Drosophila melanogaster: one gene and its partners. The protein of the gene in region 1 interacts with the protein of each later gene in a pairwise test. Each region holds a gene or a part of one and is shown in the gene's direction. Other genes may lie near its edges. The genes, in order: Rca1, olf413, CG3448 and GstE10.

Region 1 (7,729 bases):
CTTGTAGAGAAAGTGCAAACGTTGAGATACCCTAGAAAGCAGCAACATTAAATCTTTCTAAACATAAGAAGTAAAAGTGACATTAAGATATTCTTCAAACTTTTTAAAACTAGGGAACATACATCCATTAACAACTCAATTTTAACAAGTTAACAACCTACGAAAGGGTAGCAAGAATGAGTACTCATATACTTATAAACCCACCGCCGAAATCAAACACAATCAAGCGAATTGGGTTCCGTTCCAGTTTGAGTTCCAGTTCGGGTTACTTTGCTTGCACAGCCATTTGAGTTTGTCCGTTCGTTTGGTTAAAAATAATCCGACCACTTCGCGTGGCCGCAAGGACACCCAGGATGGCCTCCCACCGCGGTAAACATCGTTTGTCAAATGCTCCGACTGCCCCGTCCAGCTCCAAGCCACGACAACTCACAATGCCATCCTGGCCAGCTCCATCTCCAACTCCACCCCATCCTCCATCCTCCACCTTCAGTTCCAGTTGCAGTGTGTCCAGTGTGGATGGGTGACTTCCTTCCTTGGTCGAAGGACTTACGTGAGTCGCGGCCGTGCGATAAAATAACCGGTTACAAAATATTTGTTGACATTCCGCGGTAAATTACCATAATTAGTTGATTCGAGCGACCGACCCATGTTTGATCGGGCTGTCATGGGTTAAAGCACCAATGGAGTGGAATGGGTGTGCGTGCAGCGACATAATGCCAAAACAGGGCACTGCCCACTGCCAAAAGGATAATAATTAGAGCATATGTACGGATTGAGTGCAAATATTGACAGGAGCTGCCCTTCCTTTCCCCCATTTGTCATCATTCCGGGTCGTTCTGGTGCGTAAACTCAAATTAATCAGCCGCATATCAATATCCGTGCAAACATAGCTCCACATCAAAACATATGTATGCATATATGCGCTACATATGTCGCGACCTTTTGGACATGGATTTGCCTTGCCTCAAGGATTTTCCCTCAGCCATAAGGAATTGTGTTCTGTTGACAGTAGTTTTTGGGGTGAAGGTTAGTTAGCATTCTCGAAGCAGGACAAGGCAAATAGATTCATGGTATGGTAAAGTCGCGATTTGTACAGGAAGTAATGTAAGTCCTTAAAGTAAAGTCAAGGAAATGAGTTGAGACTTATTTTTGAAAACAATATTTATGAGTGCAAGAGCACTACTTCATTATTCAACCAACAACATATTATTTCTAGCAAATCTTGTAATATTTTATATAATACTTTAAATATCATTGCAGTTATCTTCTATATACACCTAAGATAAATCAATGCCTAGCACATATCCCTAGTTCGACTCATTCGGCTCCCATTGACAAAGTCATTAGTTAACATCCCTCTGATCTCAAAGCAAACAGGGTGACCACGACTTCCCAGGACCGAACCAAATGAACCACAGATTAATCCCAAAGCCACGACGACAATTAATATGCTGCCATATCCACGCCCGAAAAAAAAAAAAGATGGGCAAACCGGTCAGTGGAAAAGAGATTAGAACAGTCAAATGACTTTAAATTAAGCCGATGTGCGTCTGTCCGTCGATTTAATTAAAATCAAAACAAAATCTTTGCCCGCCGACACGCCCCTTTTGGTGGCAGCAAATAGACAAATAATAAAACCATAAATAATGCAAAACAATAAACGAGCAAGTATTCATAAATTATTAACGCAGAAGCTGCTGGCCGACAAAAGGCAGCGCAAATACCCAAAATATTTTGCCAAAGCATTTAGAAGGACAATGAGGCACGAACCAGATGACAGAATCCGGGGTAGAATAGCAAATCCCCGCAGCAAATAATTGAGCCTCATAAAGGAAATATCATTCATTGATTTTCCCCCGGCAACCACAACAGATTCTCGACCTCTCATCTTTCCCAGCAAGTGGATGAAGTCGTCGGGCGGTTGCAAATGGTCCTTGGAATGGGAATGGGCACGAGCATGGGTTGGCCAGTGGTGGTGGGTCATGGGGCTTCATTTAGCTGACTCTATGGACAGCTGACGAAACTATCCACCTAGCGGCGAAGGAAGACTTTCACATGAATCCCAAATCTATGCCCCGTCATGATTTGCACAAAAAACTTGAGCTGGCAAATTTGTCAGTGGGCACAAAGGACGCGGCAAAGAAGAAGATGAGGGAAGCGGAACGGAAAAAATCTAAGGACGAGTCAGGGAGAACAAATGATAAATTATTGAGGGATTTTCGTTAATTTGATGACACTGATGATGGCCAAGGCCAGATTATCCTGACTGCCGAATTTTGATTGGGCCAAACAGGGAACAGAAGACATATCTCATAAAATAATTTGTAATGATTTCAATTTTAATAGATATAGATATACTTATGTTCGATTAAAATCTTTTTGTTATAGGCGTAGAAATTTAAATAGCACCATATGTCAGCTAATCGAGAGTATTTTTATAAGCTTATCAACATAATTTTACCAATGTCTTCAAAGCTAAGACGATGAAATACACTTTTAATATATATAATATAATATAATAATATAATATAATATAATAATATAATAATAATATATAAGATGTTAAACGGAATCCCGTTTTTATAAAGTGAATGTTTTCAAACTATTACTTATTTCCATATTTAATAAGTGAAAGTTTTCTATTTTCGAATTGGTATTAAAGCAATAAGCTGAGTATATAGGTATTTATTTTATACTTATGGCGTAAGGCATGGAAATATAATTTATTGAAAGTCAAATTCTTGGTGTTTTTAACTTAATGAACTGATTATACATATTATTTATCACTCTTATTCTTTATTTTACTTCTTTTTTCGAGAGCATTAGTCGCAAGTGCGTCTTCGCTAGCTTTGGAATGTGTACTCGCTAATATGGAAGTATGTACACACTGCATAGAATGAAAAAACGCTATCTTATTCCAGAACCTCAAATCTTGTACAGCTTGAACTCTTTTAGACATGTTTATAAATGGCTGAAGTTGCTTATGTTAATAGGAGTCTACGATTAACTGTCAGATTCCAATAATCCGATCAAGTGGCATCTTTTAATGCACAAGTTTAAATGGTTTGCCTAACAGTCACGATAATATATATCAAATGGTTGGCAACGCGATACGTAGCATTCTGAGTTGACCCGACAATGAACTGGTATCTATTTAGTAGCCAGTTAGTATTTTATTGGGGCGGTCACACTGATCCGTACCCAAAAACAATCAACCGATGCGAAAAGCATAACAATTCGAAAGTTTAAAATTCGGTCAAGATGAGCGCCTATTATCGGCGCGCGGCGTTGCGGAAGAAGAGCCCAAGCCGAGGGTCATCCTTCGAGTTGGAGATGAACGAGTCTGGCTACACATCCTTCCTGGCGCTGCACAATTCCACCGCGGAGACGCCATTTTTATTGGAGGACGCTGAGGGCGAAAACTGTCGCAATGCATCGAATACCACAACATTCTTTCGGGGGCTGAACACGCCCAGTGGCCACCAGGAGCAGGACCTTTACTGGGGCAAGCCCTATCCCAGAACACAGCCCCAAAAGAAATTTTCCGCGGAGGAGGAGCCTTTCTCTATGACTCCGCGTCTGCAGGATGAGCATAGTCTGCCCAAGCGACGCAAGAAACACTTTCAATCGCCACACAGTAGCCCCAAGAAGTCCAAAAAGCTGCTCTTTCCCCACATAGAAGAACCGCCCAAGAATCGCTTCTACGGCGGTGTCGAAAAGCTGGATATCGTGGCCAAGCTGGCGCAATGGCAACCGGCACTGCAGTGCATACTGCGTCATGTGGGCGCCCACACGCTGGACGTGATGACCAAGGTATCGCCGGCCTGGAAGCAGGCTGTTTATCGCAGCCAACGCGACTTGGAGCGCCTACAGAACCACCGACTCAAATTGAATCTAACCAAAGAGAATCCTCACGTGCCCAAGCGGTGCAGCCATGTGCCCAAGGCAAACCACACAGTGCCATTGCAGACCTCGAACCATAGCAGCCTGGCCAACAGCGCCGCCTCGCTAATGGACTCGGGCAACTCGAGCATCCACCTGATGGACGTGGATGCCGGAAGGGTGCTGCGCGAGCAGACGCAGCGCGTCAAGTGTCCGCGATGCGGTCGAGGCAGCCGGGTTTTCATAAGCGAGGCGGCCAAGTGTGGCGAAAACCTATTGTCGCAAACTCTGCCTATTGGACGTACAACCAGCACATTCCCCTGCATGACGGGTCCGCCTCTCAAACGCTTCCTGTCCCTGGATCTTGACGAGGTCAGGACTTCACCGCAAGGACCGCCATATAACTTCGCCGAATGCACCAGTGTCATCTGCCAGTTTCGGTTCTGCGTCAACTGTCTGTGCAAGTCGCATCCCGGCGAGCGTTGCCTGGTCACCGAACTGGACACACCATCCAAACTGATGATGCCACGGGAGCGACTGACGCCGCCACAACGTGCCCAGAACCGTGATCCGAAAATCACAAGGAAGAACTCGCTCAAGCGGCTCTGCTTTTAGCTTTATCATAGGCTTTTAACTATTACGATTAGTATTCGATTTTTTTAAATCTCATTAATTTCGTATTATGTCCATCGCATTAAGTTCCATTTCATCACGTACATTCATATATATGTTTTTAAATCGTTCCATGTAAGGTTTGTCGGAATTCTGTACCTCTGCGAGATTAAGTATTTTTTACACATGCAAAATATATAAATCATTTTTAGAACTATAATTGTTATAATTATAACTGGGGGAAAGTGATTCCTGTTTATTAACATGTAAGGCTTTGTTATTATACATCATTATAACAGGCTTCAAAGGCAGCCTTAATATGTTAGGCAAGTCTTAAAAATATTTTATTATTATTGATTGCATTGCATAAAATAAATTCAAACAGAAAATGTTTAAAATCAGCTGTAGTATACTGGTTTGGGTCTTGGCTAACGCCAATGCGCGCTATTTACCGTAAGCTACTTTGTGTACTGCCAAGAGATCTTTGGCCACACCAACAAAACACGTGTGGAGTGCGGTTGCCGCACATTTATTGTTCTCCGTTTTTACCTTTAATTAACTTGAGAAAAAAGGAAAAAACGATCATCCAAAATGAGTACTGCGTTGGCACAGCAGCTGCAGAAACTGGCTGCGCCGCAGTCGTCGGTAACTTTGGCAGATGCACGAAGTCGCGCCTCCATACTCTTCGATCCCAAGGAGGCGGCCACCAAGGATCGGCGGTCCATTTATGAGATCGGGTTAACGGGACTGCAGGAGCTGACCGACTTTAATCCGGCCTTCAAGGAGTTCCAGCTAACGTTGTTCGATGAGGCCACATTGACGCTGGAGCGTTCCGTGGAGCTGCCGGAGATTAACAAGATGCTGGACGCGGCCATTGCAAAGTTTCTGCGCCTTCTTTCGCCGTACCTTCTGCTCCGCCCCGCACACATGGCCTTCGAATGGTTGCTGCGACGATTCCAGGTTCACGAGTATAACCGTAGCGAAGTTATGGCCCTGATTCTGCCCTATCACGAGACAATGATCTTTGTCCAGATCGTTAAGACCATGAGGCTCCGGTCATCGGATGGCGACTGGTACTGGCTGCGCCCGTTGCAGCGTCCTGGCGTTCCGCTAGCCAAGACTGCTATTATTAACAGAGCCGCCAGCAATCCCGCCTTCCTCGGCTTCATCTGCCAAAGTACCCAGAAGGCGGTTAAGGAACTGGGTCCTCGAGCCCACCAACTGCAAGCCCAGATCAACTTCTATGCCACCGTCGTAGTTGGCGCCCTGCAAACGGCCAAACCACTGCAGGACTGGCACATCACCACTATTCTGGAGTCGCTGCTTCGTGGCCTGATTTCCGATAATATCGACTTTATGGCGGCCGCCTATGTGATCGTTGCTCAGCTTGTTTCCCGCACCAAGCTCAAGAGCAAGGTGTGCAATGCCCTGCTGGAACGCGTGGCCAACTGCCCGTTTGAGAGGCTTCACAGTGAGTCGCTGCTCCTGCTTGTCTGCATCTATGGCAAACAGCAAGCCGCATTGCCGCACTTTAAGCCGGAAACCATACTCAATCTGGTTGGGAAGAAGTGGCTTATCTCCACTCTGTCCTCCCTGGCCAAAGGCAACATCGCCATCCAGTCTATCTGCATGCCACTCATGACCGGAGCCGTGGCCGCCATTCGGGACGATGACGCCTCTTCTAACTCATGCAAACTGTTCTTGGACAACCTGCTGTCAGAGGTGCCAATGCCAAAGCCGACTGCTCAGCAACTGATCAAGTGAGTACTAGAAGTATCGATCGAAAATAATAAAAATAAGAGTTTATACACTTGAATTTAAAACGATTCAGCTGTTCCGATTTAAATAACATATATACTTTAACCATTTCAGTTGCTTTTTGGATACTTATGTAGAGACTGCGATCGATGCACCAGAGCCCATGGAAACTAACTCAAACGAAGATGACGATACCATTGTAATTGATTCGGATGATGAGATCGAGACGGAAAAGACCACCTTTCAAGCCTGGTATTCCACTTACCTCGAGAAGCTGGAGAGACGCTATCCAGAAGCTTTTGATCTGAGCGTTAAAGAGGCCTTGAGATCGAAATCCTCCACAAGCAATCGCCAGAAGGCCTTAAAGTTGGCTTTGGGTAAGTAAAAAATAATAATATTTATATATTTATTGTATATAATGTTTTATTCGATTGAAGGCTTCCGTCTCAACACTACTGATGAAAAAGCGAAGCACGCCTACGAAAAACTATACCACTACAGCGCTGACTGGCGACTTAGTGCTGTTCAGAAACTACTCCAGAATTTGAATGTGACTAAAAAGCGGGAGAGAAGCGTTAAGCTTCTGCAGGAATGTCTGCCCGATAGGATAAATGATGATAGCGGTGCTGTGGTCTCAACCTTGCTATCATTGCCTACCGAAGAGCTCGCCGAGATGTTGGGTCCGTTGCCTCTGGCTCAAACCCTATGTCATCTGCTGTATCGTGCTCAGTCCGAAAAGGATGAGGAATGGCAACCTGTGGTTCCCCTCGCTGTTCGTCACTTGACCTCTGCCTTGGTGAGCGGAAGCTATGACACAAATTTGGTGCTATTAGCGCTGATGCCGCTTCTCTTCCCTGGCGAAGCATTAGCTGAACATCAGCACAAGGCTCTGCGGATTCTACTTGGCAGTGATTTTGTCAGTAAAGTTCCGTTCTTGGCAGAACTTAAAGTGAGCAACAAATTCAGCGACTTTAATGTCGGTGAGCACCGTCAGCACTTCCTGGACATCATAGCGAGCAGCAATCAGGAACTGAGTAGTCAGGAACGTGCGTTGCTCCAAAGCGTAGAAGATCATGGCGGTGAGTTGTACATTCAGAAAGCCTCCCAGCTGACGCACCTGTTACTCCTGCTAACTGCCTACGCCAAGAGGGAACTACAGCCTCGGGAAAGCCTTCACATGCTGGAGAAAATTGGGCTTTATAGTCGGCGCCTCCAGTTCCGTGTCGTCAATGGTAGTCAAAACACACAGAATTGTGCACCTCTACAATTGTATGTGGATTTCCTATTGACTTTGGTTAAGAACACCAAATGGACAGCTCTAGCATCCACTCCTTGGAATCAGATGACCGATGAGCTTCGCCTCTGTCTGCGCCTGCTGGAAATAATATGCGCCCAAGTGTTTTCGGAAAAAGCTGATCAGCCAGAGCGTCAGGAGTGGACACGAGCCCTGCAGCAAAGTTTGCAACTAATCCTGCCT
Region 2 (8,881 bases), on another chromosome or scaffold:
GCACGCCGCTGCAATCATCATTAAAACTTATTCAATGGCACACTCCTTCGTTGTGTCCTGGCTTGTCCTGGGTCGTCCTGTTGCGAGCCCCGCATTTCGTGCGCCGATGGGGTCCTTTGTTGGGGTCAGGCATTCCATGGGTAATTCCTGTCGCCTGTTTTGCTTTTGTGCACATAATGATTTTAATAAATTAAATTAAATTTGTACACGTCAAACATGTGTCGCCAACAATGCGACTTAAATTGAGAGCCACCGAGTAGTGGAGTTGCGAGAAAGAGACCAACTGAGGTCCTGCCAAGTCAATAAAAAATTGAGCCAGCCCCCGTTCCACCCCCTCCTCCGATCAACCGAAACTGAGCAGCGACAACAAAAGTGACCCAAATATTTTGCAAGGACAATGCACTGGAGCACAATGCAAACAAGGGGCGTGGGGGCAGGTTGGTGGTGGCGCGGAGATATGAAGCGAGTCCTGAACAGGACGAACAGAACGAACAGGGACCGCAAGCGGAAGGGCGGGACGGTGTCTCTGGTCAAGTAAATAAACAAAAGTAATTGCATAAATTTATATAAATTAATGGAAATGCATCATGGAATTTGGACTAACGCCAAATGAAATTTAAGTGCTAAAGTTCCCAACTTTCCGTTTCTCGAGAGAATAAATTCGGTACGATTGTGTTTAAGTGAATGTTTGCATGTCTGCATGTATGTCTCTATGGGCAGCTTTTAATTATAGTGATTTTAAATTGCCTCTCAGGTAATTATTGTATATAGCTGTAAATTTCTCAGTTGCATTCTAATCCACAGATTGGTGAGTCCTATGAGGTGCTGATAACAAAGTTGGGGACTCTCAGTCTTTAATAACTAATAAATCAAAATCAATAGATCAAAAAGAAATCAAAGAGTTTGTAGATCATATATCCACTATCCAAGTCCCCGGTCTGACTATCCACCAATGATGGCTGGGCAATCTGTTCCCAGTGGACGGTGCAACCAAGAAACCTTCCGATTGGCGCGCTCACTCACCTGCACAGGTAACAGGTAGATCGCGGCCCTGCCCTTGGAGGGAGAGCGAGAGAGCAGGCTACTGAGGGCGTGAATTGAGTGCATACTATGAATACACACAGATGCCCGATGACTGACCCTCGCGAGTGAGTTATAGGGAGGGATGATGCGCTGGGTTAATGACCCTGGTCTTTAGGGAACACTTAGGAGCAGTGATCTTTCAATCTAGTTAATATGTTGATACCAGGAGAAATTGAAGACAGTATTAAAGATCATCACCATCATCTTTTGATTCTGTGATTTTCGAGACATACGGGCAGTGCTGGGCTCGGCAATTAAGGAATTCAGTCGATGCTTCATTCCGTGATTCGTGAATATTTATTGAATCTATGGTTTGCTTGGCCAAATTGGGCTTTTTAATCATATTTATCCGTCTGTAAGATCGCTAAAATTTCGGAATTTAAAAGAGCTAGAATCAATGAACTATTTGATTAAGTGGGGTTTAAGTTTACAAAAAATCATTCACTGAAAGCACTGAAAGTTCTTCACTAAAGTCTATACATTTTTTTTGCCTTATTATCAACTAGTTAATATTTTTGTTTTGCCAAAACAACAGCAACATGTGTATATCTTGTCGAGGGCATTAACTTGTCTCCTTTCGCACCCTTTGACCAATGGACCATGGTCACGAGACTAATCCCGATACAGTGGTAAAAAAGGGGCTTTCAATCTACAATTTATCTGGGATCCCGGGGCCATCAACTGATTGATTGACAAGCCATTTACATTAACTTTGACGAGCGGGCGGTGGAAGCAATTAAAGCCAGCCATAAACTGTCAACGTTTTTCTACGAGTGTGTCAAAGGTCAGCGGACAACGAGAAGAACAAAAACAACAGTCAGTGGCAGGAGGGCAAAAACAACAATGCTGTCAGCTAATTAAAAATGCACATAAAATGTAAAACAAACAGCGAGGAAACTAATGACTGCAAAATCAATACATGAAAAAGTGCGGATAAGGTGAGACAAAAAATAAATACAAATAAATAACTGAAAATAATTAATAATTTAAGAGCTCAAGCGCTCGCTGTCGGAAAAAATGGAGTATGAAAAAGCTGACGTAAATAAATTAAGGCGAAATGAATTCAAAATTCAGCGCGTAAATAAATAATAAATATCATTACGCTTAGTTAATAAAAAACCCAATTAAGGCCTCGAAAGATGCGCCAAAAGAGAAGTCCGTTTTAAATCACATTTTTCGGGCAGCAAGAACGAAATCGGAAGAGCGAGCTTCCGACGATCCCATGAATGAATGAATGTCATGAAGTCAACTAGGAAAAAGCACATAACACTCATTTATTAATGTACCATTTCAGCAGCCACCCACTGGAGTCTTCCACCACCCACCTCCCACAACGAGAGAGTCGAATGGCGAGAGAGAGCGGGAAATTCGACAGAAAATGAGTTGCGAATGGGGCATGCAATGGTGTGGGTGTATAAACAAAGCAGAGCCTGCTCGAACTTTAAAATTTATTGCTTTGTTCATAGGAATTTTGAGTAGTTTTCAATCAAGCCCAAAAAAAAACATGAGGAAATGTATGTATAGAAAAATTCTCACAAACGGTTCCTCTTAGCGTTTCTCGCTTGACCATCATTGACCATAAATTCATTTAAAGTACATTTTTTCAGAGTGTAATTTTTAGTTTTTTTTACACGTAAACGTTTTGAACTCTGTAATAAATTCTTTCGCATGCCATGCGCATTTGGTTGAATTTTGCTCTCAGTAATAGTGACATTGAAATCTTGTCTGTCAACAGAGCATTTTCCTGAATGTTAATGACTGGAAGCTGTCGAAAGAGAAGAGATGCTATGCTCTCTTTCGCTGTTAGCCCCACTGTTACTGTTAGCCGGCTGAATTGAAACTGGTTTTCGCTAACAGAGTTGATAGGATTGTGCGGTTGACAGTTGAATTCACGCAGTTTTAGGGCTTCGCTCAGCCTAATCCGTTGCTAAGGTATGGAGTTACTCACCCAAACTAAATGATTGCCCACAGGTGCAGTGCATTACATATTGTTAACAACCCGTTTTTGAGGGGTCAACTCCAAAGGAATTGCGTCAATGCATTAAATCCTATACACAAAAATGTTCTAAAACACGAGTTTTTAAAAATTCTACAAATTCACGTATTCAATCATTAGATAAATATATTTTTACTTATAAAATATCAAAAATGGAGGCTATTGATAACGATTTCTGTGAGCAGACGCTTTTCAATCATTTAACAGTTTGCCTTTACAGTGCCTTTGTTTACATGTTAACCTAGGACAAGAAACACGTCGCACCACTCCAGTGACAACAGCGGCCGTTACAGTCATTATTTTAAATGTTAATGGACCGTTCAATGCGCGCTAACTTTCTGTTAACACACGAGCCCTTAGTTTATGGGCCTGTTAAACGGTTGAATGTGAGTGCCGACTATTAACATGATTGTTTGCTTGCGGAATAAGTTCCCGTTGGGCGATAACTAATTTTACGTGTTGCGAATGGGATTTCAGCACAGAATAAACCTCTTTTATACCTTGTCTTTCAGACACTTTATAATCCCGGAAAGTATTCTCTGATTAGGATTGCTCCAAACCTGAGTAGTAACATTCAAATCCATTTGTATTTCTCACATGCATATTTTTTAATTTGATTATGATTAAACGTCCCTTGTCGAATTCTACGGGTGGTCGGGTTGTTTTGTTTGATTGGAAAATAGGCCGCGTTACAGCTACGAAAGTTGGATTTCTCACGAATCCACGGACCCATCATCGATAACTTCATTAGCCATAAAGTTTTTAGTTTTTCCATTTCCTGAATGACTTTCATATGTGGCATGCTAAGCAGCAGACGAAAAGTATAATTAATAAAGCTCATCGCTGGCCACTCCCCCTTCCGGTGGCTGAAAACAAGTGCCTTTGTGTAATGTTCATTTGCATGGCGCGCGGCACAAAAATGTTGTGTACATTGCGGTAATTAGGCTACGTGCATGGCATTTGAACCCTTTCAATTGCCGTCTGGCATTTCAATTGCGCTTAACAGATGCACCTGCCGCTGTTGGGAAAGCCCTGTTAGCAACTGGAGTTATGTAAACGCTAACAGAAACGCTCTCTTTCTGCGCAGAGAGCGGCTCTCTCTTTGCTATTGACTCTCCGCCGAGGTGACGTATTTTATTTTACAGTCGAACGCGAACCAGTTACTTCCGAAGTTTCCCAGCGAGCGGTACACGGGCGGGCGATTTGTCCGAGAAGTGAAACAAGTCAGCATTTTTAGCACGTCACGACGAGGCAAGCAAAATCTTAAAAGAAAACACGAAAAGGCGAGACAGAACTGTGCGTGAAACATTGTGCATCGTTGCGAGTGCTTCTATTCAAAGCACCCAGCGAAAATATGTAAATAAAACGTTGTAAGCTACAGAATAAGCCCGGTTTCACAGTGCGCCCCATTCATATGCAAATCGGAATCGGTGCCGCAAACTAAGCAGCACATAATTTGCGAATTAAATCAAAACACACATCGCTCCGTCTCGCTCTTTTGAGCCGGCATCCTGGCAGCAACAACAATTGCAGGACATTAAACGGACGCCTGGCTGAACGTTACGCGACGCGAACCGTTAACCGTTACGCTTCCGCTTTACGGCTTACGTAGCTCGCGCACGGGCCTGTGTGTGTGTGATTTGCGGATTTAACAATTGGCAACGGGGCGGATGAGAAACGCGATGCCGCCCACGTAATGTGTGCCGAAATTTAAATTGCACTCTATGTATACGACTGTGTGTCGGCGTGAGTGTGTGTGTGTGTGTGTGGATAACGATTACCATAAACGTAAACAAAGGGATTAGACGTTACGTTGCCGGGATTACGCCAGCAGTAGCGACAGACTTTTTCCGATAGCTGCAGCTTCCATTCTCAGGTGAGTTTCGTAAATGATGTATTACCTGAGAGGCATGCGATGTGGGGTGAGGGCGGGGCGGGGATCCTGTGGCGGCACTTGTGGTTGCTGTGTGTGGCATGTTAAGTGCAATCCATTATACAGATATGTGCCTTGCACATGCAGGTTTGCTCTCCTCTAGCCTCCAGCCTCTCGCCTTCTTTGTTGCCCTGTCCCTTTCTCCGTTCTGTTCTATCCTGTTTTTGATTCTGTTTCTGGGCTTGCCTTGTGTGTGTTTTCGGTTACCACAAAACTTAGCCTGCGCAAGTGTGTGTGATCTCCGCACGGAGTGAAGTGGGGAGTGGCGGGGGAGCCCCTTAATGCATCCATCAACTTCATTGGAATGCCATTCAATCAGCATTCCCTTTTTTCCTTAGAGTTTTTGCCGTTTTGCATTCTGCAGTTGCGCCACAAAAGAAAATGGGAAAAGTGACACACTTAGAGCGGGAAAACTGCTGCAGGTGCACAACTCATAGGGCGCATCATTTCGGTCGTTCTTCTATAACTTTAAAGTATTTCGCAAAAACATTAAGGGATCTATGGAGAAAGATTGTGGTTGAATGATGCAATTTAAATAAACAAAATATTTTAACGTTTTTCTTATCTGACAAAAATGCATAGGAAATAAAAACAGTTCATAGAAAACATTTTCAAAGGTTTTAAGTGGTGATTTTGTTGTGATCAATTGGATCAGCTGAGTTAGTAAACTCGTGTGTTAATAATGGACATACAAAAGTATGGTTCAATTACGCTCTTAAATTTTCCAACCACTAGCCTATGTATAATTTAAAAGCCCAAGTTTTGGATGGCGACCCGTTTGTTCGAGTTTCAGAATAGAAGTTTCACTATGCTAGTTCGACTGTCGAGAAATGTTCAACTTATGGAATATGGAAATTATAAAGATAAAGTTTTTGTTGTGCTCGGCTGGCAGCAGGAACCAAATTGAACATATTCGTTAGCCCAGTTCCGTTGGCAAGACGGGTTGGAGCGCCACAAGTTTTGATTCGGGGAAAGTTTCCGAGACAAGAATATGATAGCTTAATTGGAATTGCCGAATGCAGGCGAGCGCCGAATGCAACCAGAGAGCAAAGAGCGAGAAAAGGAACGGAGAGAGGGTAATTAAAAGTTTTGTCGGGATACTGTGGCCAATGTCGAAGGTCCCCGACGGCACAGAATTGAATACAATAGTGTACGTGTATACTGTACGTATGTAGACCATTTATCGAAGGGCTTTCCGGCTTAGCCAATAGTTTCCCTTTCAATAACCATCCGTTGCCTAGGCGGCCACCCCTATGCGATCCCAATCTGATCTGGAATCGAAATGCCACAATTGATTGATTCGATGCCTAATGAACAGCAATAAAAATTCATTTGGGCTACTTACGACCGCCACTTCAGGGTTCAGCGCCACCCTCCTCCACGACCAGCTCGGGCCACTTTCAATTGGACTTTTTTAATTACCAGCCAAACATTAAGAATTTTATTCTCGCTATATTGAAATATCGTATGCCGGGTATTCCCCGGCGCTTGTCATAAATATTTTAGCAGGTTCCCGAGCTCCAAACAGAGCAACACAAATATTTTAACCATAAAAATTGGCAGCCCGGCGGGAACCGGCAAAAAATCCTTTTTCATTGCGCTCCATGTATGTATCTATGCGTGTGTGTGTAATGTGTGTGCACAGGACGAGCGAGGTGTATGAAAAGATACAACAGTGGCAGTAAAGAAAAACGCATTTTCCAAAATATTTACACAGCAAAAAGGAACAACGGCAGAGCCGGTGGAGAAAACTAGAAAAAGACCAGAAGAGGCGCTCAAATAAAACCCAAATAAAATATGAAACAGGGGACGTTCGGCGGGCGGTAGGAGCTATTTTATTTTTCGGCTACAGTTTTTGTCGCCCGGCGATGTCCTCTGTGGGGGTGACTATGGTGTATCTGTATCTGGGCGAGCTGCAGTAAATAAATATACGCGTATCTCTGATGGGGATTTATGGCAATGAGAGCCTCGGTCCCGGCGCAGCTCCTCTTGCTCCGCCGCTGGCCTAGGACTTAAATAAATGATAGATTGAAATTTATATAGCCTATGGGCCACGTTGCGCTACCCGCTCGTTTCCCAGTTCATATTGCACATTTTAGACACTGCTCGATGGGTTTTGATTTGCTCTCGGGTGGCATACTAAAATCGGCGGCACATAAATTGACTAGGTAACTAAATCTATGATGTATCTATTTTCGCACCCGAAATTTCAATGCAATTTCCATGCTGGTTAACATTTGCCACTGCGGGTCGGCTGAAAAGTGCTCGAATCGCGGCGGGGTAAGTGAAAAATGTACCATGCTATTTCAGGGATTTATTTGCCGGAATTCGGTTGCCAGTCAAGAGGAATTTGGCCCAGAGATATTGTAATTCTTATGAAAATATTTCAATTCCTGTTTCCCATGTTTGTAAACAGTTGCATTGATATGAAAATCACTTTCAAATCCCATTTAAATGGCTGGGTTGAGCACCTGAGTTGAGCATCTATGCCTCGATGATAGAATGCTTTGTTTGCCTTGCATTTTCATTGATACATATTTACACAATTTCCAACAATGTTTCATAATTAATTTTTGTGCTTTGCTTTTCTATGCCCAACCCGACCGCACATTCAAAATGCAATAACAAAAGTATAACAGGGAAGCGGCAATATGTTTGTTTTTCCAATATTAAAACTTTGCCAAAGGGGGGCTGCAAAAATGCGATGCAATTTATATGAGCCAATTGGCCAAAGCAGCAAAACTGCAGCAATTGCAACAACTGCCACTTCAATGGGATATTTCGGCTGTGGAATTGCAATTTAAATCTGTATGTTCGTTCAGGTAAAATTAATATTAATTTTAATGAAAAGCAGTTTTAAACTGTATCCCGGCCGAGTACAAAAAGGATTGTTAATATGTAATACCCAGAGGAAATCCAAGGCCAGAGATGCGATCAAATCACAACCGAACTGAGGGCAACGAGAATTTGAATTGTGAATGGCAAGGCCCAGAGCTAAAATAACTTTATTTGCAAAAATGGGAATACAAATGGGAATTGAAGTTTGAAGAAAAGGATGCGAGCAGATAAAATGGACTGGCGCCGAAGTATGCAACAGTTGAAAAGCTTCCTGGAAATTAAATTTTAGCCAGCAATTCACTCAGCCATTTATTACTTTTTAAGTGCGATTTAAAGTCAGTCTGTCTCCCAAGTGCCTTAGACTGTGGCTTATTTTCTGGCTTCTGCGAGCTTTTCCAATTTCCCTGCAATTTTCCAGAGGTAACCACAAGCACAAACGTCTCCCCCCTTTAAAATAAATTCTCCCTAAATGGTTTCTCTGCTCATTTTCCTCTCAAAGCTGCACATGAGCTCTGCCTGCTGACTGTAAAATTAATTTCATATGGCAAATGGATAAGAAAAATGTTTTGCCACACAATCTATGAGAATTTTAGCCCAGCATAGCAAAGCAAGCGATGGGGAAGCGGGAAATGCCAAAAATGCTAAATAAGATGGCTCACATATCTAAAACCCCAAAGAAGCTTCAATAAATAAATACGTGTGTGTGCCCTCCTAGTCGGACGCCCCTCATCTCGATTCTTGGGAAGTCTGGTTTAATTTTGGGAAAGCGCACTCAAATGTTAATTTCATTTCCCGTTCGCCTTTTGTCTGCATTTCTCTGGGCCTCCGACTCAGTCGCAGTGGCGTCCTTAGCCGCTTCTGTCTCACTCTCATATGTATGTATAAAAAAAGATGATATTCGTATTTAATTTCAATTTCAAAGGATTTTCCATGTATTTATTCAAGGACTTTATCTTAGGCATAAATTACGGGCCAACGAACGAACGAGCGAGCGAACGGGTGCGGGCTCTCCACTTGGCTTTCCGTCTGCC
Region 3 (7,337 bases), on another chromosome or scaffold:
TGGAAGTCTGGCGAATATATAGAGATATATACATAATACGGATTTTTGGCCAGATACTAATTGCCCACTTTTTCCGCAGCGCGCTCGCACACACAACACTAACACTCACGCACGAAGCAAGAGCGCCCACAAATACAAGCATACAGATACAGGCACACAGACAGGCAGACGGAGCAGCCGCGATGACAAGTCATCATCATCACGTCGGCGTCGGAGGGAACTTCCAGCCTCAACTGCATCAGATACGAGCGCCCATCGTGAAGAATCTATCGCTGGCCGCTGCGGCGGTACCGTTGCCCCTGCACTCCGCCCCGTCGTCGGCATACTTCACTCATGCACACCAGCCTACGGCGGCTACCATAGTCGAGCAAGATCCGTACACCGTTTTGGCGGGCGATCCGATGGGCGAGGAAAGCGAGAGCTTCCTGATCGAGGAGATCATCGACGACTATGATGATGAGGCTAATATCGTCGTAGACTCAGGCGAATTCTTTGAGCACTATGAATACTATCCGGTGGATCGGCTGGACAGACTTACCTCGGTCACGGTGGCTACGGCAGATGCACTGCCGCCGCCGATCATCATGCAGCAGACCAGCGACGATGAGGAATTCATCGAGGAGGATGGACAGCAGATGACATCCTCCTGCGATGGCGATGGCGATGAGGATGATGAGGCTACCGCGCCGGCTACGACAAATGCCTTCGAGATTGCCTCCGAGATGCTAACCACCATCGAGGCCACAAACATCAAGGAGGAGCAGCTCGAGAGCGACTTCTATATGAAGGCGACCGAGGATTCAAACAGTTCGAATGGCCAGCTGCAGGATTTTAAGCTATTTGGAAGCAGTCGCGTCGAGAGGCCCATGGGAAATTCAGCGGCCAAGCGCTGGAAGCAAACAAAGGTACCCATACGCATAACGCAGGATGAGTTCAATGTCACCCTTTGGTCCTCGCTCAACTCGGAGGATGAGGACGAGGAGGAGGAGTTGGAGGAACCACCTGGTTGTGCTGGCACCACATCCGTGACGTCCTCCTCCGCCGCCCAGAATGAAGGATCACCCAGCATGCCAAAGCTTATTATTGACGAGCACATGATCAACCACGATGTTTTAAGCGATGGCATCGGCAACGAGTACGTCATCCTACCCGATCCATTCAGCGCCTCTGCGGTCACGGATGTGGAGGAGGTGGTTAATGCATTTATGGGCGATGTCAAAGGCGAGGAGGACAGCCAGCCGCTAAGTGAACAGTTGATCTATGCGGAAAACCAGTTGGAAGAAGCTTATGGTAACATCGAGCTTATCGAGAACATGCCGAATAATGTGGAGCTGATACAGACACCGGGACCAGGTCCAGCCACTGTGTCGGTAGCGCTATCGAAGGTCAACGGATGTGTACCGAATCCACAGCCGGCTCTCCCAAAACTAGTGCTCCAGAACAGCAGCACCAATGTGCGACTGAAAAGTGCGGGAAATCAGTCAAAGGTGACAAAGAGGCAACTCACGGCGGCGGCTCAGGTGGCGACACCAAATCCCCCACCGCCACTAGTGGCTTCCAGCAATCCAGCCCGACCCCAACGACCCACAATTGTAACCAAATTACCGACTGCAGTGGCCAATCAGACGGCTGGTAATGCCATGGGAGCAGCTGGCGCGGCCGGCGAAGAGGATGAGGAGCCAAAGTTTCGCTGCACCCATCGCGGCTGCAACAAGGAGTTTCGCAACCACTCGGCCATGCGCAAGCACATGCACACGCACGGACCGCGCGGTCATGTGTGCAACGTCTGCGGCAAGAGCTTTGTAGAGAGCTCCAAGCTAAAGCGCCACCAGCTGGTGCACACCGGCGAGAAGCCCTTTGAGTGCACCTTTGAGGGGTGCGGCAAGCGCTTCTCGCTGGACTTCAATCTGCGCACCCACGTACGGATACACACTGGCGATAGGCCCTACCACTGTCCCATTGATGGCTGCTCCAAGTGCTTCGCCCAGTCAACGAACCTCAAGTCCCACATGCTGACGCACACGAAGCCCAAAAGGAAGTGGCCGCGCGCACCGCAAGTGAGCAACAACAAGACACCGCTGGTGGCCAGATACGGGCGACTGGAGTTTGGCGAGGATCCTCGTCTAGTGTACGTAGAACAGAACGAGGAGGTGGCGTCGGTGCTGCTGGATGGCACGTCCCTAACATCCTAACTAGTAGTGCGCTTTAATGTGTGGCAGGTATTGGCATGAGATGGTTAAAATATTAAAGCTCCTTTGGCTCCGGAAGGCATTATTGTACAGTTAGTTGTAGCCAGTTTTTATCTGTATCTGTAACCTGTAACGAGCGGAGCGGCCGGACAAGATTGTCACCTGGTGAACACATCCGCCCGCTGCCCGCCCTTTAAGTAAGTAGTGTAAGTTCATTCTCTAACAAAATAGGATTGCAGTGCAAAAGGAAGTTAGATGGTAGCCATTAATTAATTTCCTTCACGGATGAAGAGCAGTTCTAAGAGTTTAGCTTGTACCGTAGGCTAAGTGAGTCCCCCCGCAAAACCAAAACTGAACCGTAATCCCCGAAGAACTCAGCCAAACTGTCACCTTAAAAAGCCCCAATTTGATCTGATACTAATCGTGTGCGATCTTCGCTCGAATAACAAAACGCGCACTTTCTTTTCTACGAAAACAAAACAAACAAAAAAATAAGAAAAATACACAAAACTAGTTTTACCATATTCAATACGCATACACCATAGGCTATCTATATATTTTTGTAATGAATTATAACACTTAGAGCATTGAAGTACGGATTTAGCATGTTCAACGTCTGTTGGCGCTAACAATAATTCACAAATGGAAGCACATCAGTTAAGTCGGAATAAACAAGGGAAATACCTCTTCAAAATTAAACAAAAATAAACCAGGAAAACAATGCAACAACACTTGCGTATATCATTTATCATTTCTTTTTTTAACTATTTCACAGTGCGATTGTGTAAGCGTTAGATTTATTAACTGACTTTAAACTTGTAACTACTGCTAGATAACTACATTAAACGGTGAGGCAGCTATTGATGGACAGTCGCCGGGTGTTGTCCACTTCAGATTCGGATCAGCAAGCGATTAGATCGCCTCTTTGGACATGTGTCGCCTACAGCTACGTTCCATTCATTGATTGCGGTGTATAAACGCGTGCGGATTAGATAAAGCATCGCGGCGAGGTACAGATACGCGGCTATTTTGGATATTGGAACGGAGAACAGTACACACGATTGGTCTGGGCATGGTCTGATCGGTATTTTAGGTGACCTTGAGCCCATGTCCTTGAACTCCGGGAATAATATCCGCGATGGAGGCACTTGTTGGGCCAATCAATCCGGCCAGCGAGAGCAGCACGGAGTAGTTGAAGTACCAGAAAACGCAGAAGAGTACCATGAAAATGACGTCTGCAATGAACCGAGAGCAATAATAACCCTGATAAGCGTATAAATTCTCCAGAAGCATGACGAATCCGTCGGATATTCCCAACTAGTTCGAGGGTGTGCTATTTTATTAACAGCAATTAACACTCACGTATCGTTATCCGCTCCCACTTTTCAACCATGTACAGCTCGGTGACCTGCAAGTTAATGGGGTTCATTTAAATCAAAATCCCGTGGAGCGCAGCTTCTCAGGTGGAATATGTGCGTAATTTTATGACCATTACATACCATGAGGTATCGAAACCACCAGTAACTGGCGAATTCCACGAGGTTGTCAAGCATTGCGGGTGCCGAATCGAGTAAAACACTAAAAAGAGGACAAACAATAGGGGTGCAGCGCGTTTAATTTGTTTAGTTCCTCCTACTGGCTGTGTACTAACTTAAACACGGTTAATCGATATCGCTGTCATATCGATAATTTGGACCGCCTAGTGCTGCAAAATGCGTGTTTAATAAAATAAAATATTAGAATGCTAATAGAAGGGTTGTATATCGACTGTTAAAGTTAATTAGAACTTAAATATTTGAGCTCTCGGAAATATTTGAAGATGTATTTATTTATTTAATTTTACTGAAAAGAGTACATATACGTACACTTAAACGTTCGCCATAAGCACTCTATCAAAATTACATACATTTAATCAATCTGACAACTCAGTTGTAAACAGCTGTTTTAAAAACCCCGCAACAGTTGTTTACATTTAGTTGTGAAACTAAAATATTGCCGAACATGTCCACCTTTGTGGTTAAATTACTTCAACGCTCTCAGCTCTCACATAGTCAAATAGACGTAAAGCCGTTTATTTATGTCCGAAGCAAATGGATGGACGACGACGTGGAGTTTGACATCCTGACCACTTCTGACAATCAAAACTACCGGTCAATTGTAAAATACGATGAGTTTCGAAGTGGAGCCAGTGAATTGGAACAGGCCTACGATGCTTTCTTTGCGGAGTGCAAAAGTGCCGTAACTACGCACATGGGACTCCAAGGATTTGATTATGAAATATCCATGGAAGATGTCGAAAAACCAGCGTTCAAAGTGTACAAATGCGAAGGATACGAAACGCTGTACTTGGATGTTCCGCTTAGAAAAGTCTCCAACTGCTACCAGATGCTGGATGCAGCCATCGAAGCTGGTCAGCAGAAGCCACAAGCAGCTCCAGCCACCGAATCCGACGCCCAGACAACCGCATCCCTGGCTGAATATGAAAAGTATGTGAGGGACAGCAAGCTGAAGGAGGAGGAACTTCTCAAGAAATTCCTGCTGCTTTTGAACAGCAAAAAGGCCCACATCCGGGATTTAGAGAGTCAGTTGGAAAAACGATCCGGGAAAGTATCAAGAGCAAAGAATAATCAAAGGATTTTTTCTGATGACGAGGACGATGCCTACGGAGCAGCTACTCAAGTCATGAATATAGATAACGACTCAGATTAAGCCCCTTAGTAATATAAATATTTAAACAAAGACGAAATCGGTATGTGCTTGAAATGTATTTCCATTTTGTTTTAGTTTTTCTTTTCGATTTTGTAAAATAAATTAGCTTTATAATGTATGTATAAATAAACAACAAATAGACTTGTAACGTAATACATTAAATTACCATCAATGTGTAGACGTGGCTTACAATTAGACCAACAAAAGATCGCTTGTTTTTTTGGAATATAATCAATAGTTATCGTTGCTGTTTTTGTAAAAAATAAAAGCATTTTACATAAAGTGTTACTATGTATCTGCTATCAAATAGACGTTACGGATAAGTATGTTAGGGTGTGTATAACATTTGAAAGAGTAAACAATTAGAGCCGATGATGGTGCTGGCGGAGATCACTCAGAGCGCGAGCAGATCCTCTTCGGCGCCCGGTTTCTTTGGTGTCTTTCGTAAGCTATCGGCTCCTGCCGATCCTGTCGTGGCACTGGCGGCGGAGTTCGATGCACTGATCGTTGGAAGATTCTCGGCGGCAGCGGCTCTCTCCTCTAGGAATTTGTCAAACTCCGAGCTGGTCAGCTCCTCAATTCCCTCGATGTGCTGTGTGGTGGAAACAAATGACTCATTAGTCATATTAAGTACTCGAAAATGGATGACAGAAGCTAAGAAGCAAAGGAATAGTATGTAAATCGAGAAACTGAAGCCGAGTGCATGGTAAGATGAGCTTAGAAAAAGACAAAATGCTATTCGAATGGCTACTTACTGAGCTGCCCAACCACGCCTCCATCTCGTCGATCTCATTCTCTTTCGTCGACTGTGTGTGGGCGCCAACCGAACAACAAAACGAAACGAAAACCAAACGCAATTTGCATAGAACAAAAAAGAACCAAAACATATTTTCAAATTTAGACACATAGTGTAAATCAATGGCGAAAACGAGGTCAAAAGGTAAGGGAACAAATCGAACGCCATTAGTTAGACCGGCTGTCCGGCGGCTAGTTACTCACTTTACTTACCACCGGCGGTTCGCCGGCTGAGCGCTGTGCCTGCTGCGGTTGATTTGGTTTGTAAGGCGAGGCGGTGGCAGTCACACTCCCAGCAGCAGCGTCCACCGAGGGAATGTCCCGCAGCAAGTCCGATTTACTAAAAAAAGAATTATTGTTAATACTTGATGAGCTCGATTGGAAAGCACTCTTTACTGACTGGTTGCCATCGGTGCGCGACTGTGCCAGCATATCGAATTCATCGGCAGGTCGTGCGCTCCTCTGCACCCCAATGGGTGCTCCACCACCCAGGCTGATCTGTCCCAAACTCTGTGGCAGTTGGGCTTCCTCGCTGCTTTCGATTAGATCGATCAGCAGTTGGTCACTTTGCGGCGTATTGCTCACGGCGGTAGTTGTGGGCGGAGGTGGTAGCGTAGCCACCGTGGTGGCTCCTGCTCCAGCTGCTCCCACACCGGGCAGGCCCATGGCTGCGCCCAGCACAGCCGAGGGCGAGGTAACACCAGCACCCTGGCCCTGCGAACGATTTTTCTCGTAACGCTGGTGGCGCAAGAACACATTGTTCAGCTCGTCATTGATGCGCAGGAACTCCGCGGTGAGCTCGTCGTCCTGGACACGTCCAATCAGATCCACGATGCGAGACTGCATCTCCTTGCAGGTCGAGGTGAGCTCATTGAGCAGGGCATAGTCATCGGGCGACTCCTGGCCGGGCTTCAGAACACTGAGCATCTCGCTGAGGATGGACATATTGTTGCTAACGATCTCCAGTTCGGAGCGCAGCTTAGCCGCTTGCTCGGGAGTCAAATGCAAAGGACCTGTGCTGGGTGGAGCTGCGGCTGCAGCTGCGGCGGCAGCAGCGGCAGCCATGTGTTGAGGCGAGATTGTGTGCTGCTGAGCGGCCACCAGCTGAGGGGGCATCTCGGGAACACTCTAAAAGGCATATGAAAGCATTTATTATGGTTAAAGTAAAGAGGATTCCTCAGCGACTCACCCTCTGTGGCGTGTAAATGGGTGCCATGGCATCCAGATCGTTGGCTGGAAACTCGATGCCCTTGTTTTTCAATTCCATGTACATCTGGGTGACGCCGTTGAGATCCGGTTGGTTCTTAAACGCATCCGCCCAGATTTGTATCAGACTGAGAACCTTCTCCTGCATGGCGGCTGGTGGATCGTTCTTGGGCCCAATCAGCTTGACCAGCTCGTTGATGAAGTCCTTCTGGGCCACCAGGACATGGAAGGCCTTGCCGCAGTTCTTCACGCATGTCTCCAGGACGGTCAGCGTGTACATCACCACCTGGTTGTTTTTGCCGGCGTTCTGGGAGAGGCGTTTGCGAATGGCACGCATAGCATCGCGTGCAGTGTCGGAGGATTCGTTGATCATGTCGCAGATCTCCATGTTGGCGGCCCAGTTCTCCGAGGCCAGGTTGGCATCGGTGGCGGCCTCTG
Region 4 (8,152 bases), on another chromosome or scaffold:
GTTATCAGATATTGGTTATAACCCAGCAATTACCGCTAGCTAAATCAAAGTACTAAACTTATTGATTCACATGCATACTGTTGACCTCTTAGTAGTTTTAATAATAATTTAGTTTTACATATTTCTCTAAATATATAAGCGCCAAACATTTTTCATAAAAATTTCATTTAAAATCCATCAATCGTGTGCAAACTACATATGGTGATCCATATATCATATCTGCCTTCACATCTTATGCAGCAAACACAAAATAAACCAGTAGTTTCTCTTATCGATTCACTCAAAACAAGTTTGGACTGATATTAAGCAAAATTGTCGTACAAAAGTCAAGTCGTTATGATAATTGTTGTTCTTATTTATTTTTGTCTATACTAAAATGCCTTAAACAATAGTGAACTTTTTGCTCTTGATGAACTCGATGATTTGGGCAGCACGAGAGCCATTCGCTTCCTCGTAGTATGGCAGCTCCTTGATGCGCTTGATCCAGGCAGCCAGCTCGGGATACTTAGTGGCATCTACAGGCAGGAACACGAAAAATCCTGTCAAGCCGGCGATGACGTGGAAATCGGCAATGGTCAGGTTGTCGCCGGCCAGATAATTGCCATTCTCCAGAAACAGATTGAGGGACTTGTAGACACCCTCCAGGGCATCGATCCTCGCCTGTGGAATCTCCGTCTTGTTCTCCCAGAAGAGCGGAAAGGTGATAGCCCTTCCTGTCGAGGTCACCACGCTGGAGTCGTAGTGCAGACGCTGATCGACAATGGCTCGCTTCTTCAGATCCTTGGGGTATAGAGAATCATTCCGGCCGTACTTGCTCACCAGGTAGGAGTTAATAGCATGGCTGTCGGCCAAATAGAAACCATTATCATCCAGAGCGGGCACGGTGTGCAGGGGATTGATCTTGAGGAACTCTGGCTTCAGGTGCTCCTTCTCCATCAGATTGACGATCTTGTAGTCGAAGTCCAAATTCAAGGCTCTCAGCGTGAGCAGCACCGAACGGACCGGAGGACTACCGTCGATTCCGTAAAGCGTAAGTTTTCCCATGTCTGTAGTGTGCTGTAAGGCGATTGACTAGTAACTGCTTACTAAACGTCGAAACTTGGGGCTTTATATAGCCACCAGGTGGTGCTCTTCACTTAAGAGAGCTTTGCACATCTGTGATGACTCTGCAGTATGTCATACTCAATGCTTGGAACCCACATATCTCTTAGCTGTCGTATACGTAATATATATACACTTCACGTTTTAAAGCTTTACAATACAGAGCGCTTTTGGTCACATATTAAACATTTCTATTTGTTTACTCATCGTTTTGGGATTTAAAGACCATTGTCATAATTTAACCGATAAGCCAGTTGATTATATTAAACAGTGAAACAGCAATTTTTGGAAATTAACTATCTATAAGCAAAAAACTGATCATTTAAGTTTTTCCATCTATATATTTCTCTTTTATTATTTCTCTCTTTAGGATTCAGTACGTAATGATAGTTTTATTATGATTCTAAAAATGATAGGTTTTTGTTACAAATCAGTTGTAGTACTATTCGATTTGATTTGTTTTTATGGTATTTATGGCATTTGATGGTATTTTTTTTTTAATACAAATTACTATTGCTCCAGATTTAATACGGGTTTCAATAAATTGATATACTTCTTCAAGCCCCGCAGATTGTCTTCCTCATAGTGGGGCAACTTAGAGAGTCGTTCGAACCAAGCAGCCACCTTTGGATACTTTAACTCATCCAGATCAAGAACAGCGGCCAGCGAGGATGCAGTAGCTCCGCAGCATAAATCAGCTATGGTCAGTTGCGACCCGGTCAAATAGGGATTATCCCCTAGAAAGTTCTCCAAATGGCCATATGCATCTTTAATGTTGTCCACCTTCTCCTTGGGTACCAGGCTTACTTGGCGAAGAAAATAGGGTATACTGACATTTCGCAGCGACATAAACAGAATGCTGGCATCAAAGAACAAACGCTGATCCACCTGGGCGCGCAACACCAGATCCCTGGGATATAGCTCATCCGAATTGGCATACTTGTCCACCAGGTAGCAGACAATAGCATGTGAATCCCAGATAAGGGCACCATTATCTTCGAGGAGTGGTACGGTGTGCTGCGGGTTCTTTTTGAGGAACGCATCCTTAAAGTGATCTCCTGCCAGTAGATCCATTTCCTTGTATTCGTAGTCCAAGTTTAAGGCCCGCAAGGTCAGCTTGCAAGCGCGAACAGGAGGACTAATATCCATGCCATACAAAACCAATTTATCCGACATGATGCGATCACCAGAGAGACCCAAGTTCCACTAAATTTGCCACACACAGAAATCTAAACGAGCTTAACTAAACAACCCAATTGGGTGCGCTGAGCTTGCCCCATTTGTATCTTAAATAAACTTTTGTAATTGTACACTGACGATATCATAAATGAGCGATAAAAATATTACGGTCGGGTTCCCCAACTGTGAGATAATAATTACTGACTCAAGTCCCATATTAAAGTTTATAAATTTCAGTATTTATTATAAATTCAAATATTTAAATAAATATAAATTAAATAAAAAAATAAATTAAATATTTTATATATATGTTATATTTTATTGAAGAAGTTTACGTTTTAGAAATGGATGTGTATGTTGTTAATTGATGGAATTCAAACTTGTGAAATGTCATATTTAAATATAAGTTTAGTTTCACTTGTCGCCCAGCTTGGTCCACTTGCTGCGCAGGAAGGCGACGTAGCTCTGGGCCGGAGCTTCGTTGATCTCCTTGTAGTAGGGCAGCTTATTGAGGCGATCCAACCAGGCGGTGACCTTGGGATATGTAGCAGGATCTATGTCCACGGCAGCGGGCACGGCGCTTACAGTGGGTCCGGTGGACAGATCGGCTAGGGTTAGCGAATCGCCGGCCAGGTAGGGGCTGTTGCCCAGGAACGTCTCCAGCAGCTTCAGACCCTGGTGTACGGCGTCCAGTTTTTCCTGGGGCACTTCGGTAACACCGTTTATCCAAAACGGGCGGCTGACATTGGCTATACTGGCATAGATTACACTGGCATCGAAGAAGAGACGCTGATTGACGATCGCACGCTTGGCCAGATCCTTGGGATACAGCTCATCCGACTTGGCATACTTGTCCACCAAGTAGGCGGCAATGGCATGGGAGTCCCAGATGAAAGTGCCATTATCATCGAGCATCGGTACCGTGTGTTGGGGATTCTTCTTCACATATTCCTCGCTCAGGTGCTCGCCCGCCTGAAGATTCACCTCCTTGTACTCGTAGTCCAGATTCAGGACCTTTAGGGTAAGTTTGACGGTCCTCACACAGGGACTGAGATCTGTCCCATAGAGTACAATTCCAGAGCTCGACATGATACGTGTTGTTTACCCGTCAGTGTTTTTCTTTCGACTGATCTCTCTATTTACTGTACATATATACACACCTTATTGCCTCAAGCTTTTTGCTAAATGAGAGAGCATTTCGTAAATCTAAGATAAAAGCTCGAAACCATGTGTTAAACAGTTAAAAAAAAACCATATATATAATATGTATGCCTATTTCATCATAACAAACATTAATTACCCCCAACTGATAGTTCTGGAATCATCTATATGATACTAATTTTAAAACACCATATGCAGTGGTGAACTACAAAAAACATATACTCATCAAAAACAAAGTAGGTCTCTGTGAACTCAGGAACATTGGTTGTCAGAAGAAATTAATTTAATACAGTTACTTGTTTTATGATTTATTGTAATATACATCTATTTGAATCATGTAGAACCCATGTAAATTTACAATTCAAGTCTTCCTAACGAAGCTTGAAAGTTTCTAAAAGCTTAAAGCTTAAGTTAAGCTGGCATAAAGCTTATCGTTATTTTGGATAAAATTGTATGATCTGATACACAGAAGTAATAATATTAAACTCATAATTTTATAATTATATTTATATGAAAATGTTTGCATAGAAACACTGCTAATGAGTCTGGTTACTTTAGGTTTCGTTTGGACGTTTCTAGCAGTGTATATAAGTAGCCCCTTTGGTGCTCCAACTATGATCAAATAAATCACGGGGACATTGATCAAATATTGACACAGCTAATAGATAGCAGACCGACTTATCCCGGACATTAATAAACAATCAGGCAAACTTAAACTTGCAGCATTATGACGTCTTTGTGGTAATTATCAAGAAACTAAGTTTAATATCTAATCTTATCGCGTTTGAAAGAAATTTAAATTATTTAGACTGCCTTGAGTCAGTTGTGGATGGCACACTGTCTGCTACGAATCTCAATTCAACCAGCTAGAAGGCAATTAGTTAAGCAACCACAATGGCTAACCTGATTCTATATGGCACTGAGTCCAGTCCGCCGGTCCGTGCCGTTTTGTTGACCCTTCGTGCCCTCCAGCTGGACCATGAATTCCATACGCTGGACATGCAGGCCGGCGATCATCTGAAGCCGGATATGTTACGCAAGAATCCCCAGCACACGGTACCCATGCTGGAGGATGGTGAGTCATGCATTTGGGACTCACACGCCATCATCGGCTATCTGGTGAACAAGTACGCCCAGTCGGATGAGCTCTATCCAAAGGATCCGCTGAAGCGAGCTGTGGTGGATCAGCGGCTGCATTTCGAGACCGGTGTCCTTTTTCACGGCATCTTCAAGCAATTGCAGAGAGCTCTGTTCAAAGAGAATGCCACTGAGGTGCCCAAGGATCGTTTGGCTGAGTTGAAGGATGCCTACGCCTTGCTGGAGCAATTTCTGGCGGAGAATCCCTATGTGGCCGGTCCTCAGCTGACCATCGCCGATTTTAGCATTGTGGCCACCGTGAGCACTCTGCACCTGAGCTACTGTCCCGTGGATGCGACCAAATACCCCAAATTATCCGCCTGGTTGGCACGTATCTCCGCATTGCCCTTCTATGAGGAGGACAACTTGAGAGGAGCCCGCTTGTTGGCCGATAAGATTCGCTCCAAGCTGCCCAAGCAGTTTGACAAGCTGTGGCAAAAGGCCTTTGAGGACATCAAGAGCGGAGCTGGAAAACAGTGATGCGGAAGCCATTGTCGCATCGAAAAGAGAGCATTGCCCAAAGTAAAATTGTATGTTAAATGGTATTTAATATGATGTATTAAAACTTACGCTGCTGGCAAAATGATTTAAAATGTATATTATGTTTGAATAATCTTCTTTTTTTCCCAGTGTATAGGCTCACTATATACTGTTCTGAGTTAACTGAAGACTTTGTAGCCATCTAAGTGCTCTTGGCCGGTAAATGTCCTTGATGGCGAACATTTTTTTTATGTTGTATATAAATTACTATCTAGCGTGGAGTGCATTTCCAATGGCAACGCAGCCAAAAGTTTACAACTTTTTTGCGCTCATTAAAATTATAAAATTTTACCCTCCACAAAAGCGACACAAAATAGAAGAGGGCGGGGTAAATGAAAAGCGCAAAGTTTTCCTGCCGTGTCGTGCATGCTAAAGTTGTTAAATCATAATTAATTTATGACGGCGCCATCCGCCCAAGCAGCTAGCCAGCCCAGCTCCGCAGCAAACCCAACTCGCCCCCGTTTTATGCCACTTCCAAATTTGCCTCTTATCTGCGCTCGGGTCTCGAACTCCCCGCCCTTCGCTTGCTCCAAGTCCACAAAAAGGACGCGCCGTCGTTTAAAATACTCTTAAAAAAGGAGCCAAGTCTAAATACCTGCTGGGTGAAGTCCGTTTCCAAGCCCCACGGAAGTCCTGCAGGAGATGCTAACGTGAGCGGAAATTGGAGTCACGCAATCCGAAGATATTTCTTATGAAGCAAAAATTCCAAAACTTTTTGTTTTTATTTTGCAGATGTATGGAAATCTATAAAAAGTACATGAATTTTCCATTTGTTTCTTACTTATTTTCAATTTCTTCCCTACTTATAAACCTTTGTTGGCCTTAAAACACAAATTTTTTTAAAGCATTCCCTTCCTATTTAAGCCCCAAAGAAAAGAAAAAAAATCATAAGCTTTAACGTTTTTAGAAACTCGTGACTACTTTGTGGGCATCTCAGGAACTTACCTTGTGTCGCCGCGTTTTATGCGCCTCATTGCAACGGCGACGAGAAAGTGGTGGCAGGCAAACTAATTGGTTTAATTTCAACTTTTACTTTGGCCCAACCAGTCAGCATGCCACCCCTACTTACCCCAAACTCACCCCATCTCGCCCCGTCCACCAACCAACCCCCACATCCTTGCCAGCATGGCTCCCCGAAAATTCCACCCATCGTGTCAGTGGCATTTGAGAAGTTTGCTTTGCTTTACGCTCCGCCTGCCACTTCAGGACGCTTTTACTTTTTCTTTTTCGCTTCTACAGGATTCCACTTGGCCGGTTTATTTCCTGCTTTTTATTTTTTTTTTTTTATTTTGCTCACCGTTCTCGCATCTCAATTTATCCTAGTTTTCATTAAATGAACAAGCTGATTCTTATATTTCTAAAGAAAATATAATACTCGGAAGCCATTTGAAAGCTCGTTTACTATTTTAAATGAAATTTATTGCAATCCATGCATATTTCACAAAAATACACTAAAAAAGTAGAAGGATAATTGTGAAAGCTAGTAAATTTTAAATTCAAAGCAAATAGCTATTCTTTTTATAGCTTAAACTTGATGCTTCGCAGAATGGGAAATTTTTCGCCAGCACACTGACCACGAAAATCATCCATGGACAGGTCGTGGAAGGCCACTCCGCCCAATCCTTGGGCATGCACAAATCCGGCCTTAATGGCCGCCGTCAAGGGATCCTCGTAGCCCACCCATAGGCCATTCTCCCCTTGATCATCCGCTGCCCGGTACGCATAGATGCCAAAACGCTTGGTGGGATCGCCCACTTTGCGCAGATGGGGAACCTCGCGATCCTGTGGTTGCTGCTGCAGCAAATCACAAATCTCCGGCCAGCTAAGCAATCCTGGCGTAACAGTTTGCCTTCCCGGCGGTGCAGCTCCATTTGCCGCCGGAATTGGTGGATAGCCGGTGATGCCGGAGTTTCGGGTCATATTCCAAGCTCGACCATAACTGGTCACTCCCACGTGCAGTTTGTGGACACTGATTTCGGATGTCTGGTTCATCCAATACTGCACCTGGTACTGCACATTGTGACTGGGATCCCGATCGTACATGGCATACAATGGCGTGGGCAGATCTGCAACTTTGGGATCGCGTTCCGGCGTTTGGAAGTCATAGGTGCCCAGGTTGACGAAGTCCACGTTACTTAGAACCTTTGGAACATCAATAAAGACTAGGGATAGTAAAAGTAATGGTTAATATTGGCGAGATTCTCAATGGTTTCAATGATTATACTCACGTTCCGCTGAAACATGTGGCAACATACTGACGGTTAGCAGTTGGCCACCGCGTCGCAAATCGGATTGCAGCTCTTCGAGAAGTGTGGCAAACTGCTCACGATGCTCCTCGGACTTCTCGTCCACCGATGAGGAACTAAACCAGCCACGTAACGATCCCCATACCCTCTTAAACACGCCCTGCTGCAGTTTGGGCCTATTTTTGGGAAACTGCCAGGCGAGATCGATGCCATCGAAGCCGTTGTTGTTCAGTTCCGCCAAAACGCTTGCCTGAAAGCTTTTCCGATGCTCCGACTGTTCCAGTAATCTTAGATACTTGTCACTATCTGCCACGCCCTCGCTGTTCACATCCCGATCGCCGCCCACCGAAAGCAGGAAGCGAACATGCGGATATTTTTTGCGCAGAGCGGTAATGTGTCGATAATGCTGACGATCATTGGTCAACGAAGGATCCAAACTCTTGATCTTATAGGTTACGGCATCAATGCCCGCATAGCCGTAGACCAGAAAGTTGCAAAACTGTAGAGCGGGCTCCAGTTCAGCCAGCGACATTTGGGCGGGGCCTGAGATGAAGATAACCCCTGATCCACTTGGTTGATTAAAATCTGACAAAACTCACCTTCACGCACAAAACTCTGCGCATCGTAGAAGCACACCAGTTTTCCAACCTCTGCATATGTACTCTGGAAAAATGCCAAAAAACTGCAGAGCAATAACCCTAAAAATGGGTTCTTTTGAATCCACATCATGCACGGTAGTAACGCTTAGCTTCAAGTTAGATTCACAACTAATCTGGGACGACGCTTTG

What was found.
Region 2: the proteins of Rca1 (region 1) and olf413 interact in a two-hybrid assay, tested with the Drosophila melanogaster proteins (one large-scale study listed by BioGRID).
Region 3: the proteins of Rca1 (region 1) and CG3448 interact in a two-hybrid assay, tested with the Drosophila melanogaster proteins (one large-scale study listed by BioGRID).
Region 4: the proteins of Rca1 (region 1) and GstE10 interact in a two-hybrid assay, tested with the Drosophila melanogaster proteins (one large-scale study listed by BioGRID).

Annotation. Positions count from the first base shown.
Region 1 is NT_033779.5:6,849,161-6,856,889, forward strand, and holds Rca1 (regulator of cyclin A1), read left to right. Parts: upstream 1-3,154; 5' UTR 3,155-3,261; coding exon 3,262-4,497; 3' UTR 4,498-4,706; downstream 4,707-7,729. Other genes in the region: l(2)k09022 (lethal (2) k09022), read left to right, coding at 5,086-6,254, 6,367-6,629, 6,690-7,729.
Region 2 is NT_037436.4:22,131,855-22,140,735, forward strand, and holds the start of olf413 (olf413), read left to right. Parts: upstream 1-4,235; 5' UTR 4,236-4,955; intron 4,956-8,881.
Region 3 is NT_037436.4:9,448,385-9,455,721, reverse strand, and holds CG3448 (uncharacterized protein), read left to right. Parts: upstream 1-4,149; 5' UTR 4,150-4,190; coding exon 4,191-4,898; 3' UTR 4,899-5,177; downstream 5,178-7,337. Other genes in the region: phol (pleiohomeotic like), read left to right, coding at 183-2,192; ghi (ghiberti), read right to left, coding at 3,279-3,424, 3,552-3,597, 3,689-3,742; CG3529 (uncharacterized protein), read right to left, coding at 5,293-5,490, 5,654-5,704, 5,898-6,033, 6,094-6,821, 6,883-7,334.
Region 4 is NT_033778.4:18,393,649-18,401,800, reverse strand, and holds GstE10 (glutathione S transferase E10), read left to right. Parts: upstream 1-3,408; intron 3,409-3,999; 5' UTR 4,000-4,182; intron 4,183-4,232; 5' UTR 4,233-4,335; coding exon 4,336-5,058; 3' UTR 5,059-5,163; downstream 5,164-8,152. Other genes in the region: GstE3 (glutathione S transferase E3), read right to left, coding at 382-1,044; GstE2 (glutathione S transferase E2), read right to left, coding at 1,612-2,277; GstE1 (glutathione S transferase E1), read right to left, coding at 2,695-3,369; Idgf5 (imaginal disc growth factor 5), read right to left, coding at 6,637-7,280, 7,347-7,907, 7,964-8,093.